Linked DNA regions of Astyanax mexicanus. The protein of the gene in region 1 interacts with the protein of each later gene in a biochemical or structural test. Links are inferred from orthologs where the notes say so. Each region holds a gene or a part of one and is shown on either strand. Other genes may lie near its edges. The genes, in order: slx4 and eme1.

Evidence for each region.
Region 2: the proteins of slx4 (region 1) and eme1 form a complex in vitro, tested with the Homo sapiens proteins (3 studies listed by BioGRID, with this or other methods). The link is inferred for Astyanax mexicanus from reciprocal best matches to the Homo sapiens genes SLX4 and EME1.

What each region holds. Positions count from the first base shown.
Region 1 is NW_026040046.1:1,761,768-1,771,772, forward strand, and holds the start of slx4 (structure-specific endonuclease subunit SLX4), read left to right. Parts: upstream 1-5,569; 5' UTR 5,570-5,954; coding exon 5,955-6,303; intron 6,304-6,752; coding exon 6,753-6,933; intron 6,934-7,464; coding exon 7,465-7,704; intron 7,705-10,005. UniProt on the Homo sapiens protein: Regulatory subunit that interacts with and increases the activity of different structure-specific endonucleases.
Region 2 is NC_064422.1:44,692,194-44,701,812, forward strand, and holds the start of eme1 (crossover junction endonuclease EME1), read left to right. Parts: upstream 1-5,313; 5' UTR 5,314-5,520; intron 5,521-7,021; 5' UTR 7,022-7,106; intron 7,107-8,602; 5' UTR 8,603-8,627; coding exon 8,628-9,354; intron 9,355-9,619. Other genes in the region: mrpl27 (39S ribosomal protein L27, mitochondrial), read right to left, coding at 1,188-1,394, 2,093-2,160, 2,606-2,737, 4,488-4,527. UniProt on the Homo sapiens protein: Non-catalytic subunit of the structure-specific, heterodimeric DNA endonuclease MUS81-EME1 which is involved in the maintenance of genome stability. In the complex, EME1 is required for DNA cleavage, participating in DNA recognition and bending.

The DNA.
Region 1 (10,005 bases):
GAGGAACAAATCTTGAGTCAGTAGCTAATTAGCATTTCACCCAATAAAATAGACTACATTACATTTCCTTCCTGCTTCAGAATCTAGTCTAAACATGCAGGGTTCACACAGACTCTGTGCAGAGCTATCTAGATATTTTTGGAAACTTGCAGCCTCTAAAATTGTGCCTATTGAAATATTTGCATGATTCAATAGGAGGATATTGTCGATCAGCTGAACAGGGTTTTTACTGTATTTTATTTATGTTCTCTTGGTCGCAATAAACTAATTAAAAGGCAGCAAAAAACGTCCATCTTTATTCTTGTAATATATATAACTTGAATCTCTTTTTTTTATATATATATAAAGAGTGTCCCTCATAGCAGACATTAACAGTTGAGTGTTAATCCCGCCTGTGTGCGCATGAACTGAAAAAAAAAAGACTTCAATCACTTGAATTTGAAAAATCGTTCACACGATTAAAAAAAATAAGAGCACGAACTGCAATATACATCGCTCTATTAGATTATTTTAATAAAAGGTAAATAAAAGGTTTGTCAAAAAAAAATCTAAAATAATGTTTTTTTAAATAAGTTTCTGAAATGATCAATTTTGTCACTGAGTTTTAATTTTATATTGATTAAAATAGATGAAAAAAAGAAATGAATTAAATGTTCAACCTGTTTTTATAATTTACTGGACAGTCAAAGACAATATGAAAAACCTTATGAAATCTTAATTTAAATGCATAATAATTTAAGATAAAATATGAAGGCAAAAACTGGAAGAGGTTTTGATAACTGCTTTAAAAAATGTTGTCTGAATCGTCTATTCAACCGTTATTTTCATTTGTTTGTCATTTTTTTATATTTTGAAATTATGTAGAAGGGATAAGAGGTAAATGTTTATTAAACTGTAGTTATAAGTGCAGTCAGAAATAAATCTGTCTTATAAAATCTCTAAGCTAATGTTTAAATTTGGATACAATATAATTCATTGGATGGGCTTTCCCTGCAGCCCTGTAATTTTCAACCCTGTTATTTTTACATATATATATATATATATATATATTATATTTGTATATATTTTTATATATTTATTTATATATTTATTTTTGATGATGATAAAATAATATGAGGTAAATGTTTGTTGAACTGTGTGTGTAACCTACAGGATAGTCCAAAATGAATAAAAACTTGATAATAAAATCTTAGTATGTACAATATGTAAAACTCGCGCTGATACATCACAGCTACAACAGGGAGAGAGGAGGGGGAGGGCTCCCTCTAGCGGAAATGAAAATGATAAAAATTAAACTTTCATATATTTTAGATTCACCAACTGCACACCAACTGAAATATTTCAGGTCTTTTATTGTTTTAATACTGATGATTTCGGCATACAGCTCATGAAAACCCCAAATTCCTATCTCACAAAATGAGCATATCATAAAAAGGTTATCTAAACGAGCTATTAACCTAATCATCTGAATCAACGAATTAACCCTAAACACCTGCAAAAGATTCCTGAGGCTTTTAAAAACTCCCAGCCTGGTTCATTACTAAAAACTGCCGACCTGACTGCTGTCCAGAAGGCCATCACTGACGCCCTCAAGCAAAAGGGTAAGACACAGAAAGAGATTTCTGAACGAATAGTCTGTTCCCAGAGTGCTGTATAAAGGCAACTCAGTGGGAAGTCTGTGGGAAGGAAAAGTGTGGCAAAAAACGCTGCACAACGAGAAGAGGTGAGCGGACCCTGAGGAAGATTGTGGAGAAGAGTCGATTCCAGACCTTGGGGACCTGCGGAAGCAGTGGACTGAGTCTGGAGTAGAAACATCCAGAGCCACCGTGCACAGGCGTGTGCAGGAAATGGGCTACAGGTGCTGCATTCCCCAGATCAAGACACTTTTGAACCAGAAACAGCGGCAGAAGCGCCTGGACTACAGAGAAGCAGCTGTTGCTCAGTGCTCCAAAGTACCAGAGTAATTAAGGTGCCAGAGTCTGGAGGAAGACTGGGGAGAAGGAAATGCCAAAATGCCTGAAGCCCAGTGTCAAGTACCCACAGTCAGTGATGGTGTGGGGTGCCATGTCAGCTGCTGGTGTTGGTCCACTGTGTTTTATCAAGGGCAGGGTCAATGCAGCTATCAGGAGATTTTGGAGCACTTCATGCTTCCATCTGCTGAGATCAAGAATTAATTTTTCAGCAGGACCTGGCACCTGCTCACAGGGCCAAAACCACTGGTAAATGGTATTACTGTGCTCAATTGGCCTGCTAACACTCCTGACCTGAAGCCCATAGAGAATCTGTGGGATATTGTGAAGAGAAAGTTGAGAGACGTGAGACTCGACACTCTGGATGAGCTTAACGCCGCTATAGAAGCATCCTGGGCCTCCAGAACACCTCAGCTGTGCCACAGGCTGATTGCATAACTGAACATATCTATTTGAAGGTTGACTTTTTTTGTTTTAAAAACACTTTTCTTTTATTGGTCGGATGAAATAGGCTAATTTTTTCTTTACTTTTTTGCCAAAATCATCAATATTAAAACAATAAAAGGCTTGAACTACTTCAGTTGTGTGTAATGAATCTAAAATATATGAAAGTCTAATGTTTATCAGTACATTACAGAAAATAATGAACTTTATCACAATAAGCTAATTTTTTGAGAAGGACCTGTAGAATCTCAAACAGGAAACAGGAAAAACTCCATAGCTTAGACTGTCCCATTTCAGTAGAGCCGCTGCAGCCTACCCATCCTACGAAGGACACACTTTCGTAGACCGCGTCCTTAGAAGGATACAGCCCCTGAATTGGGACACACCTATAGTCACACATGACGATTGATTGCTGATCATTTTGGAAGATAGAGCTGTGGACTGATGACACTAAAAGTGTTGGAAAAGAACACAACATTCCAAGAACAACACTCTACTGCTCCTCACAGTAAAACGTGGTGGTGGTTCATCGTGCTGTGGGGCTGTGTGATCAGTGCAGCTACTGAGAATCTTGTTAAAGTTTAGAGTCTCATGGATTTCAGTCAATATCAGCAGATTCCTGAGAACTGTGTTTAATCAGTGAGAAAGTTGAAGTTGCGCTGGGGCTGGATACTTTAACAAGACAACTATGCCAAGGGTGTAGGAGCGGGCTTGATATTGGGGGGGGACACATTTGCCAATATGAACCCAAGCCCACCCTATAGTTTCCTAGAACAACATTTGTGGAAATACTTTTAATTAAAAGTAAATTATTATTATAAGGTGATTTTACAACCTTAACATGTTACTCAGTGTAACAGTAACGTTACAGTTACTGTTGTTAGAAAAATTATGCATGCAATGACTGAATTATATACATATGACAAAAATGTTCAGTTATCACCTAATATTTAAAATAATATAACAGATTTGTTTATTATTATTATTATTATTATTATTATTATTATTATTATTATGTATTGGCATGTCAATTCTGTTGTATATTTAAATTTTCTCCTGTGCTTTTATTTATCTACTGAGAGCTCTTCTTAAGATGGTGACATTTTATGTAAAAGAATGTAACTTTACGTTTCATAGAGATTTTTATAAACGTCAGGACATGTGGTCTTACTGTGAACTACAAATGAACAGAAGTCACGTTACAGCAGTGTTTCTCAACCCTGTTCTTACATATTCTACTGAATATTAACACTGTTCTGCATATCAGAGCTTCCTCTGCTTTAAAGGAACTTAATAAAGTAAGTGGTGGTATGATGTGTCTAAAACACTGCTAATATACATGATTAATACAGGCTCCATAGTGGGCTTAAAGATTTTAACAGGTAAACTCAGTAAATGACTGTTTATTAGCTGATCAGCTGGACCAGGTGGAAAACACAGTTTTGGGGCAGTGATCGGGGTTAAGAAACTGCTTTAAACTACAAACATAAAGTACTTTATTAAATTCTGACTATCTACTACATGCAGCTTCTAGATTACTAGTTAGTTAAATTACATTTCTTTCATTATAGCTCACAGTATATCCTGTAATCCTAAATTAATAAACACAGTTGGAAAATGTAATAATGATTAGCTGATCAGGTACAGGGCAAGTTGAACATTACATATATATATATTTTTTTTTCTTTAACCTTGACTCCCACTCTAACTAATTCCAAATTTAAGATAACTGACTCACACAGCTGCAGTTTATTAATCACTGTGGGTTTACAGTTGACATGATTAGCTCCGTTACCTTTCTGTTAGAAAAATCTCCGTATATCCAGATCTGTTTTAAAATCAGCTGAAGCTGCTGCAGCCCGATCCCGCTGCTAAATCTCACAGCCAGGGAGGGGCTTCCCCCGTCAGCAAGCTGATTGGCTGTTTCTACTGGGAGGCGGGACTTAATACCTGAACCGGCTCCGTGATCGGTCTGTCTCCTCATTAATAGTACAGCTGAGCTGAGCGAAACAATATCATTTTGGGGGGGACAAATCCACCTGTTTCTAATATTGTCAATTCACAAATTTATGCACTTGCCTTATTTTGTTTAAAGAATTATTGCACACTTTCTATAAATCTTATAAACTTAATTTCACTTCTCAAATATCACTATGTTCATCTGATATATGATATATTTAACTGAAATTACCGATCTGACAAATTATCAGGGGTGCCCAAACTTTTTCATACCCCTGTAGCTACTATCTTGTACGCTCCTGTGAGTGTCTTTAGGTCTAAACATTTAAAATAATACAAACAATAACCTCACCTGGTCCCTCAACATCAGCACCATAACCAAGAAAACCCAGCAGGACCTCCACTTCCAGCAAAGACTGAGAAAAGCACATCTTCCACCTCCCATCATTACCAGAGGGAGTGTAGAAAGCATCTTAAGCACCTGCATTACCGTCTGGTTTGGGAACTGCAACACCTCAGACCTCAAGACCCTACAGCGGATAGTGAGCACAGCTGACAAGATCTGGCAGAAGAGACAGGAGCATCCGAGCCTCCACTACCAGACTCTGCAACCGCTTCATCCACCAGGCAGTCAGACTCCTCAGCACACAGAGACAGAGCTGAACCCACCCCCAACCACACACCCAACACACTCACACAGAACTGAACTGAATCTCCACCACTATTCACACACACATACAAGAACTGTAGTAAACCCACCCAACACTCTTCACACACACACAGGGACTGAAATGACACCCCATCACTCCTCATACACTTACACACACACAAAACAAAACTGTATCAGACCCCCGCCCCACAGATTTGCAATCTGGTATGTCTGCTATAATATTCGTTGTTCCATGTACCATGGTTCCATAAGAACATAAATATTGTGTTGAAGAAATTAGTACATTTTTCAGAATGAAAATGATTAAACACATATATTAAGCACATATATAAAATCTGATTGTGCTGAAATGCATTTATCACTCAGGATCGTGCGTATACTGGTGGTTCAACAAACCCCTAAAAGATTCTTTTATGGGTATTTCTCTTTGTTTGAGATTATTTCCTGCCATAAACAGCAGCGTGTGTTTGTAGATGAACTAACTACAAATCCCACAAGCCCCTGCGCAACCCGGCGTGAGCGCGAATACGTCACTGTACGTGGGAGAGGCGGTTGTGGTGGAGAATTTTGAACGTAGGTTAGCTAGAGGCTAGCAGGCTAACTAGACTGATTTAGAGAGATTAAAACACGGCTTTTAGACTAAAAACAGCCACCGCTTTCAGTGCGGTTAGTGTAGTCCCACCCACACGAGATGTTAGTGGGGTTTAATGTGATTTCTGTGAAGAAATATAGCTAAAGTAGTTGTTAGCTGGAGTTGTTGTGGTAAGGAGCTGATAGCTGATAGAGACACTGGGTAACGTTAGTTAAACGTTACTTGGTTGGTTGGTTAGGACAGTAAACTGAAGAAGCTACTGGTCACCATGCTGATCTGATCCGAACCTCTGGGAGATGTTGTTCTCTACCTGGCGGCCATGGACGACTCGGACCAGGAGTTCTCTGATCTCTGCTCTCGGCTCCTCAAGAGGGTGAAACGGAAAGATTCTGGGGATGAGAAGAAACCAGTCGCAGCTCCAGATGAAGCTGCAGGTCCCTCTCAGAGCAGAGCTCCCCCCAGGAGGAAGAGGCAGAAGAACGGGCAGCTCCAGAGCCAGGCAGCGGGCAGGTCGCAGCCTGTCTGTCCGGCAGATGGAGCCTCCTTTCTCAGCGTGAAGGAGAAGGTGCTCCGGAGGATGGAGCGCTTTAGGAGAGAGAGTCCTCCCCGGCTTCTCCATGTGGAGGCAGAGGAACATCGGGGGGAGACAGTATCACCACCCAGACGAGGTAGTAATACACTCACAATCATCTGTTATGTTCTACAGTATGTGACTTTCTACTGTATGATGGTTCCCTGCTCATAAGCAGCTTCTGCTGGTCTACACTGGTCTTTGATGGTAAAGGTACTTGAAAAGCTGGTGATCCAGGTGGAAATAGCTACACTGTACTGGCGAACTTGCTGGTTAACCAGTTGTTGACTAGCGTTGTGTATGTTAAATGTGGTCACGATTGGATATGCTGGCATGCATGTTGGTCATACTGATCAGCAGCCTTGGTCATGCAGGTGTAACAGTTAACATTTTTATGTAAAAAATAGCTCTGCAAAGCTGAACAACTATATGGAAACAATATGGTGATGCCAACTATTTCGTAACTATTAAATCTTGTTGCAACTTGTATTGCTGGTGGAAGAGCATCTACTAAATGCCATACATTTAAATATTTGTGTTTGTCAGAGCTCAAAGAAGAAACTGAAAGTGATGAAGCACTGGCTCGGAGGCTCCAGCAGCAGCTGGATCATGAGGCTGAGACCCAGGCTGTGGTGGACACAGAGGGTAAAGGCTTGTTCTTGTGCCAGCTCTGCTACAAAGACCTGTCAGCTATGAGCCCTCAGCTACGCACTCAGCATATCAACAGGTACTGCAGCAGGCTAGCACTAACTACACTGAAACAATACTACTGTGGCAGATTCTTTAAACTGGCTACAACTGGTGATCCTCACTCGTCCAGGATGGCATACATATCTTAGATAAAGTCATATTCCTCCAGTGTACAGTGTACTCCAGTATAGTACACTACACAGCCAGATCATATTTGTAACAGGAGTCAATTATAATAATAATGCACTCCAAAGATCTCCATAAATCCAGGAGTAAAGTAAAATAAATTATACTGGACAGATATAATCTGTCTCTAGTAGACAAATTCGTACAGTGTGAATTCCCTTTTCTTAAAAATAGCAAAAAGTGGTGATATTTCAGAGTATAATATCATTCACAATATTCAAATATGTTGGCGATATTATTGAGTATAATACAGCACACCCCTAATTGGCACAATATTACAAAACTCAATATTGTAATACTTTGCTAACAAATTGGTATTTTCCTTTGTTATCCCTGTGTGGCACAGCATACTCTTATGCTCTCCTTCATCTCCTTGATTCAGGTGTTTGGATGAGAGTGAGAGCTCCTCTGAAAAAATCTCTGAAGCTCCTGCTGCTCCTGCATCTGCACTCCAGCCTCGAGTTCCAGAGTGCCCAATTTGTGGGCGTGGCTTTAAGTCTGAAAAGAGTCGTTCCACTCACTTGAAGCGCTGCTCCGCCAGCATGGGCGTGTCTCCAGCTGAGCTTCTGCAGGCCTTGCAGAGACAGGCGTCTGAAAGTTTGAGCGATAGTGCGGCTGAGCAGTAAGTAGCTTCATATTTTTGTTTAAAATGGTATATGACCTCAATCACACACACACACATACCTGTGTATATGTATGTATGTGTGTATATATATGTGTGTGTGTGTGTGTGTGTGTATATATATGTATGTATATGTAGAGTTTTAATTTAACAGGGGAAACAGAAACTGATCAGGCTCTGTAAGTGGTTCTGGTGGTTTTCTCCTTCTGCTCTTGACTCCCAGTCGGCAACTGGACCACATATGTAGCATGCCAAATATTTGCCAGGTGTCTGCGACTCGTCAGCGATCACTTTGTGACGGCTCGGCGAGTGTCTTTCAGTATTTCACACCACACATCTAAGTGGACGCTGAGAGATTTCTACAACAAACGACTCACCGCTGTGCTTGCAAACAAAGGCTTTGCCACTAAGTGGATTCCACTCTCTCTTTTACAGCTCACATCAACTCTGTGGTGAAAACTGCATTCTTTCATCTGCGCAGAATAGCTAAAATTCCACGATCCGTTACTCAGTCCACTGCTGAAAAACTCCTTCATGCTTTCATTTCCAGCAGACTAGATTACTGTAACTCCTTGCTTGCTGGCATTAGTTCTTCCTCTATCCATAAACTCCAGATGGTACAAAACGCAGCTGCCCGTTTACTCACTCACACTCGCACCCATGAACACATTACACCTGTTCTCCAAAATCTTCACTGGCTCCCTGTTAAATACAGGATTCAATTCAAGATTCTCTTACTTACCTATAAGGCATTAAATAATCTTGCACCTCCTTATCTGTCAAACCTCCTTCTTCCTTACAGACCATCTCGATCCCTTAGGTCTGCTACTGCTGGACTTCTTAAAGTCCCAGCCTCTAAACTCCATGGCTTTGGTGATCGGGCTTTTTCCAGACTTGCTCCTCAACTATGGAATTCTCTCCCATCTGCGGTCAAACAATCCTCCTCTCTTTCCTTGTTCAAATCTACACTCAAGACTCACCTCTTTTCTCTTGCCTACGGCCTTCCCTCTGTTTAATGTACTATACCACTTATCCCTGCTGTCTGTTCTCGTACTATGTTGATTTTCTGTCACCACTTGTGTAATGTTTCTATTTGTTTTCACAAATGATGACTGTAAGCGTCTTTGGGTTTTAGAAAAGCGCTATATAAAAATAAAGTATTATTATTATTATATTAAGTATTGAGTGTGTTTGGCAAGAGAGATCAAATACTTATTTTCCTCATTGAAATACAAATTAATTAAAATATATTCTTTAAAATTATATTCTGGATTTTTGTCTTGATATTCTGTCTCTCCATGTTAGAATATATCTACTAGGGGTGTCACGATTCTCTAAATCCTCGATTCGATTTCATTTTCGATTTGAGGGTCACGATTCGATTCGATTCTCGATTTTCTTGTTTTTTTTTCTTGTTATTATTTTATGCCTCATAAAATTTAAATATATTTATTATTATTATTATTATAAATATTATAAATATTATTATTATTTATTAAGATATATATGGTAATGCCATCTAGTGACTTATTTTGGTAGCAACAGTGTGCACTATTAAAACAAGCAGTTTATCAGAGCTGTGTGTGGATGGATGGTGAAACTGCTCACTTACATGAAGCTGCAGTTCTTCATCAAACCACTAGTCGGAGCTGCAGCAGCAGCACAAGCCCAGCCACGGGCTACAGAGCTCAGCCAGTCCGTTTTTACTGTTTCTGTAAACAAATAAAGGTTTTAACCCCACTAACCGGATAATACAGCTCACTACAGTTCATCTTTCAGCCCAAGCAGCTAACAGCAGCAGGTTAGAACAGCCGACACGGAGGCACTGCTCGGATTACATTATAAACAGGTCAGTTAGCGCGCTGCTAACCTCAGGATGTTTATAACTACGGAGTTTAGTGGACACACCACGGCCGCCAGGTAAGTCTTTTAAAGGCTACTGAAGACTATTAAAGGCTATTAGAGGTCATTGAAAGCATTATTGGGGGGCAGAAATCAGTACAGGCTGGTTAGATAAGTGATGTGGTGAAACTGTGACTAGCGCTGTCACAGTGATGTTTATTAACGTCATTAAAACAGATTTTGTCAGGTATTGTCTTATAAATATTTACACATAACTTATATCTCTCCTGAAAAGCTTTTATTTTAGTCAGAAACACGCTTGTGTTTACTTTATCTGAGAGAAAGATGTTTTTTTAATTCAATGGAAAGCAACAGGTGTAGTCAATTATAAGTTTAAGATTTTTAATCCACCTCACTATGATCTATAGTCAGTGTTCTCAAGTCAGACTGACACACGCA
Region 2 (9,619 bases), on another chromosome or scaffold:
AACATATATCAAAACACATTTTCGATAAACACACACTGTACACCCCCTAATGTCTCCATCCGCTAAAATCCTCTTGTTCTTGTTGTTTGTGAAATACAGTAGGTCTCTGAGTTGTTTATGATGCTGCACATGATGAAACTCTTCCTCAACCTCCATTGTCTGTAGTATCTAGTAAAATAAAACATTCAGGAAAAAAAAACAAGTCGATCAGGAAAAGCACTGTGTCTACATCAACCCGTGAATTAGTATTCATGGCCCCGCCCACCTCGGCTCGGGACCGCCCACAGGCAGAGCTGAAGCCGGGCAGCGACGCCGTCTCATCAGATAGGAGATAACTAACAGCGCTAGAAACAGCATGCAGTTCATTCCTGTGTTATTTGTGCGAATAACACATCAGTGTTCATATACTTTACCCAGTAATTCAGAGCTAAGAAACAAATGGTTAGAATTAGTCTATGGAGGAAAACACCACCAGCCAAGTACAATTGAGATAGATAGGTGTTTAGATGTTTAGAACAGTTCTGTTTACACTAGTTAAAAGTAAAAATCCACCCCGGGGTGGATTTTTACTTTCTGGACCTGGACTAATAGGTAACTATAGGTTTAAATAGGATCTTCGGTGGATTTGGTGTTTTACAGAGACTCTTAAGTCTAGGTCAATATAGGCTGAACTGCACTTAGCAGGGCATTATTACACATGTTGTAAAGTAACATATGACATTGTAAAGACTGTTATTAGTGTAAAAATGTCTTTATTTTAAAACATTTTTAAATGTCCGTCTCACTGCCTCCTGGTGTCGCAGTGCTGTAAGCCAATCAGAGGCGATATGTTTGCATGTATGAATATTCGTGAGCAAGAGCCGAAATCCTATCGTTTCTCTCTGTCCCCCCACTCTTCCACTGGACTAAAACAGCGTTATACTGGATCGCCGGAGATTTTTTTTTTTTTCCACTCATACTAGAGACCACAACTAGACTTTTTAAAATTAATAAAAATGATGGAATGAGTCCTTTAAGAAAGTAAACAAAAGCAGGTGATTTCATACCAGTAGAGTAGCTCATTTATTCACAAACATAAAAAAAAAAAAAAAAAAATTTGCCTTATGGGTGAGGCAATTCTCCATTAAGTCCATAAATGATCCACATCAAAATGCAAAAGTTCACATGAGTTAAACAGCGAGTCTCTTTTAAACCAAGTCGACCAGTTTGAAATTGTTCTCCTGCTTGGTGGGAACAATGTTGATGAAGGATTTGTAGAGAACGGCTCCTTTCGGGAGCTTGGGGATCATATGTCTCGCTTCAGCACTGCGAGGACGAGGAATGTACACCTCCTTGGTGAATCTGACCCTGCCGTCCTCCAGGGCGAAGAGGGTATTGTTCGTTCCGATGCCAACCTGTGAGAGAAAAGACAGAGGAGCGACAACTGAGGGTCAGTTTATGTGGCAATTTAAGCAATCTTAGGGTTAGTTTATTAGAATTCAGTACGTTTTAGTCAGGCCGAGGTCCGGATCGTCATCATTTTTACCTTGTGTTATGATTAGGGGTGAAACGATAAAAAATTGTAATGTGAAAATGTTTTAAATATATGCTTTATTTATTCTATTTGATTTTGTTTATATTAGATGTAGGCTGCCTGTCATAAAAATAATTACATAAATGACAAATCATACGATACAATATATGGAGAAATGTTCGTTATTTGCTGAACTTGGTTTTATTTTATTAACTGTTAGTATGTTTTATAAATAAATGTAGTAATTTAATTTAATTTTCTGGTGCGCACCATCTAAATCAGCCTTTCTTGCTTTATTCTCTGACTGCTGCTTCTAACTGCATGCTTTGCCCATGTGTAGCTCCACCCTAAAGCATCTGCACAGATCTGATTGGCTGAGGAGAGCGTTTGGTGATCTTACAGAACAGGTGATTGGTCTGTGGGTTTACTGACCAGACCAGACCCACGCTCTGCTTATTAATGACCTCTGATTTACACCAACAACAACAATTAGGACACCCTACATCTCTATCGCTACATATACATGTTATATTGTCAAAGATAAAGTAATAACAAAAAAATAATAATAATAACACTTACATGAGCTCCTGGGTGCCAGCGCAGTGCCCGCTGTGTTGCCAGGATGTAGCCAGCATGAACAAAATCTCCTTTAAACAAAAATAAACCAAAGATTAAAGTAAAATATGAGGAGCTTGGAAAAATGAAGAAAGTGCAGGACTAATAACAATGCAAGTAAAGACACAGAACATAATTTTTTCCCGCGTTTCCCACTGTCACAAATCCTTGTGTGGATTCTTAAAATAATTACGATTAATGATATTAGTGTATTTTAAGACCATTTTTGCCACTGATATATTCATAATATAATAATAACAACACAATAATGTCATTACTTCCATTTAAAGAGAAATATATATATATATATATATATTGAGAATTTCTAAATAATTAATGGAAATATAACCCATACTCTAAAAGAGGTTGTGTATTGTATAATAAATCCATAACACAATTATCGCGACAGGCCTAGCTGTTAATAGTGCCTAATAATCCTTGAATTATGTAATTTTTTTTATAAACAGTAATTAATACCTTCGTGTTGTTTAAATCCGTATCTGCGGCCGGGACTTTTGCCTCCCAGATTTTTACTGCTTCCTCCGGCCTTCTTAGATGCCAGTCTTGTGGGCACCACCACTGCTGGCACTGGGCATGATGTGAGAAAACCTGCAGAGAAAGAATACACATACAAGGTGTGTGAATAAATACACTTTTAATATAGTTTTTGATGTCTTGCTGATTGTTAATTTGGCTATTCCTAATCTGTTTTTCAATCTGTTTGATATGCCTTCAGCACCTGCACTTGGGCCACATATTAAGAGTAGTTTATAATAGGTGGTAAATATAAAAGAGGAACTAAACCGTAAACTTAAAAAAAAAAAATTATTAATAGCTGAAATGTGTTCCTCTGTAGTAATAAAACATTTATAGTAATAAAATTTTTTATAACATTTATATTATTTATTTTTATAAACATTTCCTAACCTTTAAAAAAAAACACTTTTATTTGTGCTATAGGCGAGGATAATGTTCCCGTGTATTTTAACACCCTACACGCATTAGGCAAATCAGTCAGTTAGTTCCGCCCCTAAACCCATACATCACCCATTGCCACACATTTTATTTTTTTTTGCATTTACCAAATTTGAGCTGAGGGTAGAGTCAGTTAAAATCAAGGGGTTTAATTATCTTTAATACTTAGTGAATACAGTCAATTCAATATTTGAATACAGTGAGAGTATAATTAATTATGTTTTATTGGAACAATAACTAATTGTATTAGTTTGGTAGCAGTTTTGAACTTAAAATGCTGCAATTGCTAGAAAAATAAAGCAACTAAAACAGCAACAAGCCATATACTCAACTCATATACTTCCAGTTTGTCTGTAAAATACACAGATAAGGAGCAGCTGTAGCTTAAATAAACAGAGATACAGAGAGATACAGAGAAAGAGATAGAGAGAGAGCGATACACAGAGATACACAGAGAGACACAGATAGATACACAGAGATACAGAGAGACACAGATAGATACACAGAGATACAGAGAGACACAAAGATACAGAAAGATTCACAGAGAAATACAGGGAGACAGGGAGATACAGAGAGAGATACAGAGAGAGATACAGAGAGACACAGATAAATACAGAGAGACACAGAGAAATACAGAGAGACACAGAGAAATACAGAGAGACACAGAGAAATACAGAGAGACACAGAAAGACACAGAGAGACACAGAGATACAGAGAGACACAGAGATACAGAGAGACACAGAGAGATACAGAGAGACACAGAGATACACAACGAGACACAGAGATACAGAGAGACACAGAGAGATACACAGAAAGAGATAGAGAGAGAGCGATACACAGAGATACAGAGAGACACAAAGATACAGAAAGATTCACAGAGAAATACAGGGAGACAGGGAGATACAAAGAGAGATACAGAGAGAGATACAGAGAGACACAGAGAAATACAGAGAGACACAGAGAGATACAGAGAGACACAGAGAGATACACAGCGAGACACAGAGAGATACACAGCGAGACACAGAGATACAGCGAGACACAGAGATACAGAGAGACACAGAGAGATACACAGAGAGACATAAAGATACAGAGATAAACAAAGATACAAAGAAAGACACGGAGCAATACATTAAGATACAGAGACACAGAGAAAGAAATGCAGAGAGAGAGGGAGATACAAATAAATACAGGGAGATACAGAGAGACACAGGGGTCAGGATACTGCAGGATTACAGCACCAGCACATAACACCTATAATACAGAAACACAGAGCGACAATCACACAGCGACCCGTTCCCCGCATATACCCGCCTCCCTGCCCGCTCCACCCCGCGCTGTGGATCACAGTAACACGCAGAACCGCGGATTAAACCCCGGGACTCACCGGCTCTGGGTCGCAACAACAAGGACACGAGCGCAGCCATGCTGGAACACGCGCCGAGAACCACGCTCCGCCAGATCCCGCGAGATTTCAACAAACCACGCCCACCGCACTTTTACTCAGTGTAGGAGACTAAAATATTACATTAAAAACAGAAAACAATTAGACTTTTCTTGAAACGTTTAAAACGTTATTCAATGATAAATGAGGAATAATAAACATGTAAAAAAAAGTCTCTCTCTCTCTCTCTCTCTCTCTCTCTCTATATATATATATATATATATATATATATATTTTTTTTTTTCACACAAATATACAAACAACTATACATTTTGGCAAATACACAAGATATATTAAATTAAAACGCGAAACAATTAGATTTTAGCTGTATTACTGTCTATTGAATAAGTAAATTATTTTCTTTTTGTTTTGTAAATGAAAAAAAGTGTTTTTTAATGTTCATTATTCAGGTTCTAACATAAAATATACATTTGGTGAGTACAGAGTATATCAGTAAAATAAAGTAAATAAGTTATTTTCTTATTATTTTCTTATTAAGTATTATATATTAAGTATTTTATTCTTTTTCATTTGAAAAAGCATTTTAAGTGTATTTGGAGCAATTTATTTGGTTACTTATGTAATATTTAAATATATTTGGAGTACTTTTTGGTTGTTTTTTCAACAAAAAATATAGGTTTATATACTGTTATTTATTATTTTTTGTTTATGTGCAGTAAACTTATAGTTATATTGATTTATTTAATAGTTTTTATTTAGTGTAGTATAGTACAGTGTGCAGTGCTGAGCTGCTGGGTGGCCGCAGGGGGTAGCAGTGGGCTGTACACGGTGTAGAGCTGCTTCCCGGCGGCAGGAGAGGAAGAGGAAGCCCGGGAGATTGAAGAGTGGAGGGTAAACAGAGCGGAGATTATTTACTACAGATTTTTACACAGTTTTAACCTTTTTACTTCTTTATTAGGCCTTTATTTCACACCCAGCGCTGCGAGGAGTGCTGCTGCCGTCTTCCACACCCGCAGTAAGTGTTTATGGTGCTGTAGTATCGTTTATATAACTTGTATATAGTTTATATAGTTTTATATTTCATATAAACACTGTGTATCAACACATTTACTACTGAAAACAACAATTACTGTAATTTAACACATTATTACACATATAGAGAAATGTTATCCGTCACTTTAAAGAACTTTTAATACATTTTTCACTTTAGTTTTCTATAAAGATGCACTAAACCATATTTTTTCATTTATTTATTAACAGCTGTAAAATGTTAATTTGAAGTACTGAAACATACCAGTTCTGCTTAACATTTTATAAACATTTCCTAATCTTTAAAAAACGCCTTTCTATTTTATTTTATTTACTTTTTTTCCAGCGCCCTCGCAGGTTCAACTGTACTATAGCCAAGGATGATGTGTTCTGCCCCCAACCCTAAACCCATACATCACCCAGTGCCCCTCCCTCCCACACTACTCACTTTTTTAGTGGTCGACTAATCTGCCGATAATTTTTTCGATTAGTCGATTCGTCATAATTATTTTTATCATTCCCTCCATTTGTGTTTCCTACTGATGAGGAATATGATCTAATTATATACCTATATATATATATATATATATATATATATATATATATATATATATATATATATATATATATATATATATATATATATATACACAAGCCGGATGTTATTATCAGGAATTCTATGAGAGTTAAATATGTCTTTATTAAGAATTTATACATTACTTTGTATTTGATCATGTTTTCATCAAAAATGTAAATAATCTGTTCAATTTTTATAGTTTTACTGCCAGGAATATGTATAAGGTCTTAATCACAGTTGACATAAAAAAAAACTAATTATAATAATGTTGTTTTTTAGGACTTACTTGTTTTATTGTTAATATATTTTCCTATGTACTGCATCATTGTATTGTCTCTGTTACCTGATAACTTGGTCAGTCATATAATTAGCCCCAAAGTTAAAAAATAGTCAAAAATAGTCACCCCTAGTTGTTATATTTATTGTATGCTGCAAAAGGACAAAGCAAAGCTGGCCTAACTACAATTCAATGATTTAATCTAAGTTAAAAAAAAAAAAAATTGTACTAGTTTTGATGTTAAAGTTATACTGGGGTGTGTAATCTCTCTGTAAGCTATAAACATGTATATCAGCAGAAATATACATATGTAATATTGGATATTGACCCAGAATTCCTACATCAGTGCATCACTATTAAAAATTAAAAAGTGATTAAGCTAAAAAAAAGTTTGATTTCTCTTTAGTCTGAAGACATGAAGAATAAAAATCTTAATTTTTATGAGACTCCAAAAGGCACAATATTCTGAAAATGATCTCTCCTAACCCAGTTTACCCTGTTTTTGTTGTTCTGTCTCAGTAACAGTAATACTTCTCCTGATAGAGAGATAAAGCAGGAAAGTTTGAGCTCAGTTCAGCTGCTACATTATTGATGCGGTTTTGGCGCCTCATTTTTATCTTCTACATTATGTAGGTTGGCCTAGAAAAGCTTCACATCAAAGCTGTAAATGTAGGATCATCTCACCTTCCCGCTGCTCGCTGCAGTCAGGTCTACTGAGGTAAATCAGCAGCTCTGCAGCCTCTCGCCAACACTCAACATTATATCACCTACTCTCTTTATTTTAGTACTATATTAATACGCTGATATCTGATAGGATTTATTATATATATATAAATATATATATAAATATATTTAAGGTTAATTTATCAAACATATTTTTAGTGTATAAAAATGGGCAAAAAGTATTAGTGAAATAAATGACTATATGACTTGTATCACAATACAGGGGTTATGAATTAGTATGTTTCTGTACTGTAATTAGTGCAATGTATTTGTTCATTTAAAAAAAATATTAAAACACCATCAAATACATAAAATCAGAGTAAAATAAAAGTGTACTGTTTATCCAATCAGAATAGTAGGATGTGAAGACATTTAGCAAATCTTTGGAGGTAAACCCTTTATTAAAAATCAATATTGAATTTTTGAGAATCAATACAGTGCTGCATAAAAGTCTATTTCTAATATCGATATTGTATTACACTCCTATTTGACATGTATGAAATTGTATTGTCCAATAAATATATATTTTTATTGGTCTTGCTTTTTTAAAATCCCATGCCAATACATAGGGAAGGGGTTGTCAAAGGAAAATAATGAAATAATAATAATAATAATAATAATAATAATAATAATAATAATAATAATAATAATTATTATTATTATTATATTGAAATATATTATCAGTATATATAATATACATATATATATATATATTTTGCTTATATATTTTAACTTTTATGTGCTTATTTTTAGTTGCATTCTTATTTAAAAGTATCTTGTATATCTTGTATATCTAAGATCTAAATAAGAATGCAACTAAAAATAAGCACATAAAAGTTAAAATATATAAGCAACAAATATATATATATGTATATTATATATACTGAATTTTAAGATATGCCAAGTTCAGTATTTTACCATTTATTGTAAAGTAAAATAGTAAAAGAAATATAGTCTTAAAATAGACTTAAAAAAGTCTTAAATAATAAAAAAAATTATATATATATATATATATATATATATATATATATATATATATATATATATGTGTGTGTGTGTGTGTGTGTGTGTATATATATATATATATATATATATATATATATATATATATATATATATATATATATATATATATATATATATATATACATATACATACATACATAAAAGTAAGCTTATCTGATCTTTACCATGCTATTTTTGCATGATCTGTACAGTTAGAACGCTGGTTCTCAATTCATTTCTTGTTTAATGTTTTTTTTTGTTCATTTGTTTAATTTTAGTGAATATTTAGTTCTAGCTTTGATCAATGTTGGGTTACATGAGAAAGAGAGGCTTTCAGAAGATATATCGATTTATGTTTTAGTAGTTATTGTTTTCTTTTTTATGCTTCTTTTTGGGAAATTATTCCCATATTTCCAAATGCTTTTTTAAAATTGCATTTTAAATAGTTTAATATAGAATAAACTTGCATATTTCCTCTTTTTACAGAGTGAAGGAAGCCGGTGGTGATTGAATGATGGGATCCAACAGCAGACCATGCTTACAGTTCAGCGATACGGACTCCAGCGACTCGGAGGAGCTTCCTTTTATTAATTTCTCACAGCGTGGAAATGCCCAGGATAAAACAAAGAGCTCAAAATGTGATCTAGTGGTTGTGGACGGCTCTGAGGCTGACTCTGACTCCTGGACCAAGAGTGCCGTTCCTGCAGTAGCTGGATCTGGAGCTGTGATGAAGAGTGATGTTCATATGGTGAGCAGCAGTGAGAGTGAGGAGGAGGAGGAGGCCTTTATTCCGCTGGCTGTGAGACTAAAGCAGAAACAGAGCGATGTCTCTAAAGCTCAGACATCATTGGCCAATCATATCGCTGCTAATCATAACGGAAACTTAACAACGGCTAAGCCGTCACCAGCCCTGTCTGCTCACCGTGTTCCTGAGACCGGGCCGGCAGCGGATTATCTGGGAAAATATTCCAGTAACATTAGTCATCAGAGCGGTAATTATGACGCAGCATGTGTTACTAAAGACCTTCTGTCAGGAGGGGAAAATCCGCGAAAGGGCAAGAGGACCCCTGCGGAAATGGAGGCGGCCAAGGAGGACGCCCTGAGGAGGAGAGCGGCGCGAGAGAAGCAGCAGGGGGAGCGAGAGAGGCTGAGAGCAGAGAAGAAGGCGATGGCGGACGCTGTGAAGGCCATGAGACCCGAGGAGTGCCTCAAACACATGGCTGTGGCCGTGGATCCAGGTAGCAGAGTATACATGGGTCCTTAAATAGTCTTAAAATGCCTTAAAATGCCCTTTAATTTGACATATTCGAGGTAGTGCTGCACGATACTGGAAAAAATTACATTGCAAATGTTCTTTTTTTTTCTGACGGTATATATCGCGATATTAAACAATGCAGGGCATCACCATGATGTCACCAGCCCCGCCCCCACCCGCGCGCTACTGTCTCGTGTCTGGACCAATCAAGAGCTGAGTCAGAACCTGAGGAGCCCTTTAATCAGCCC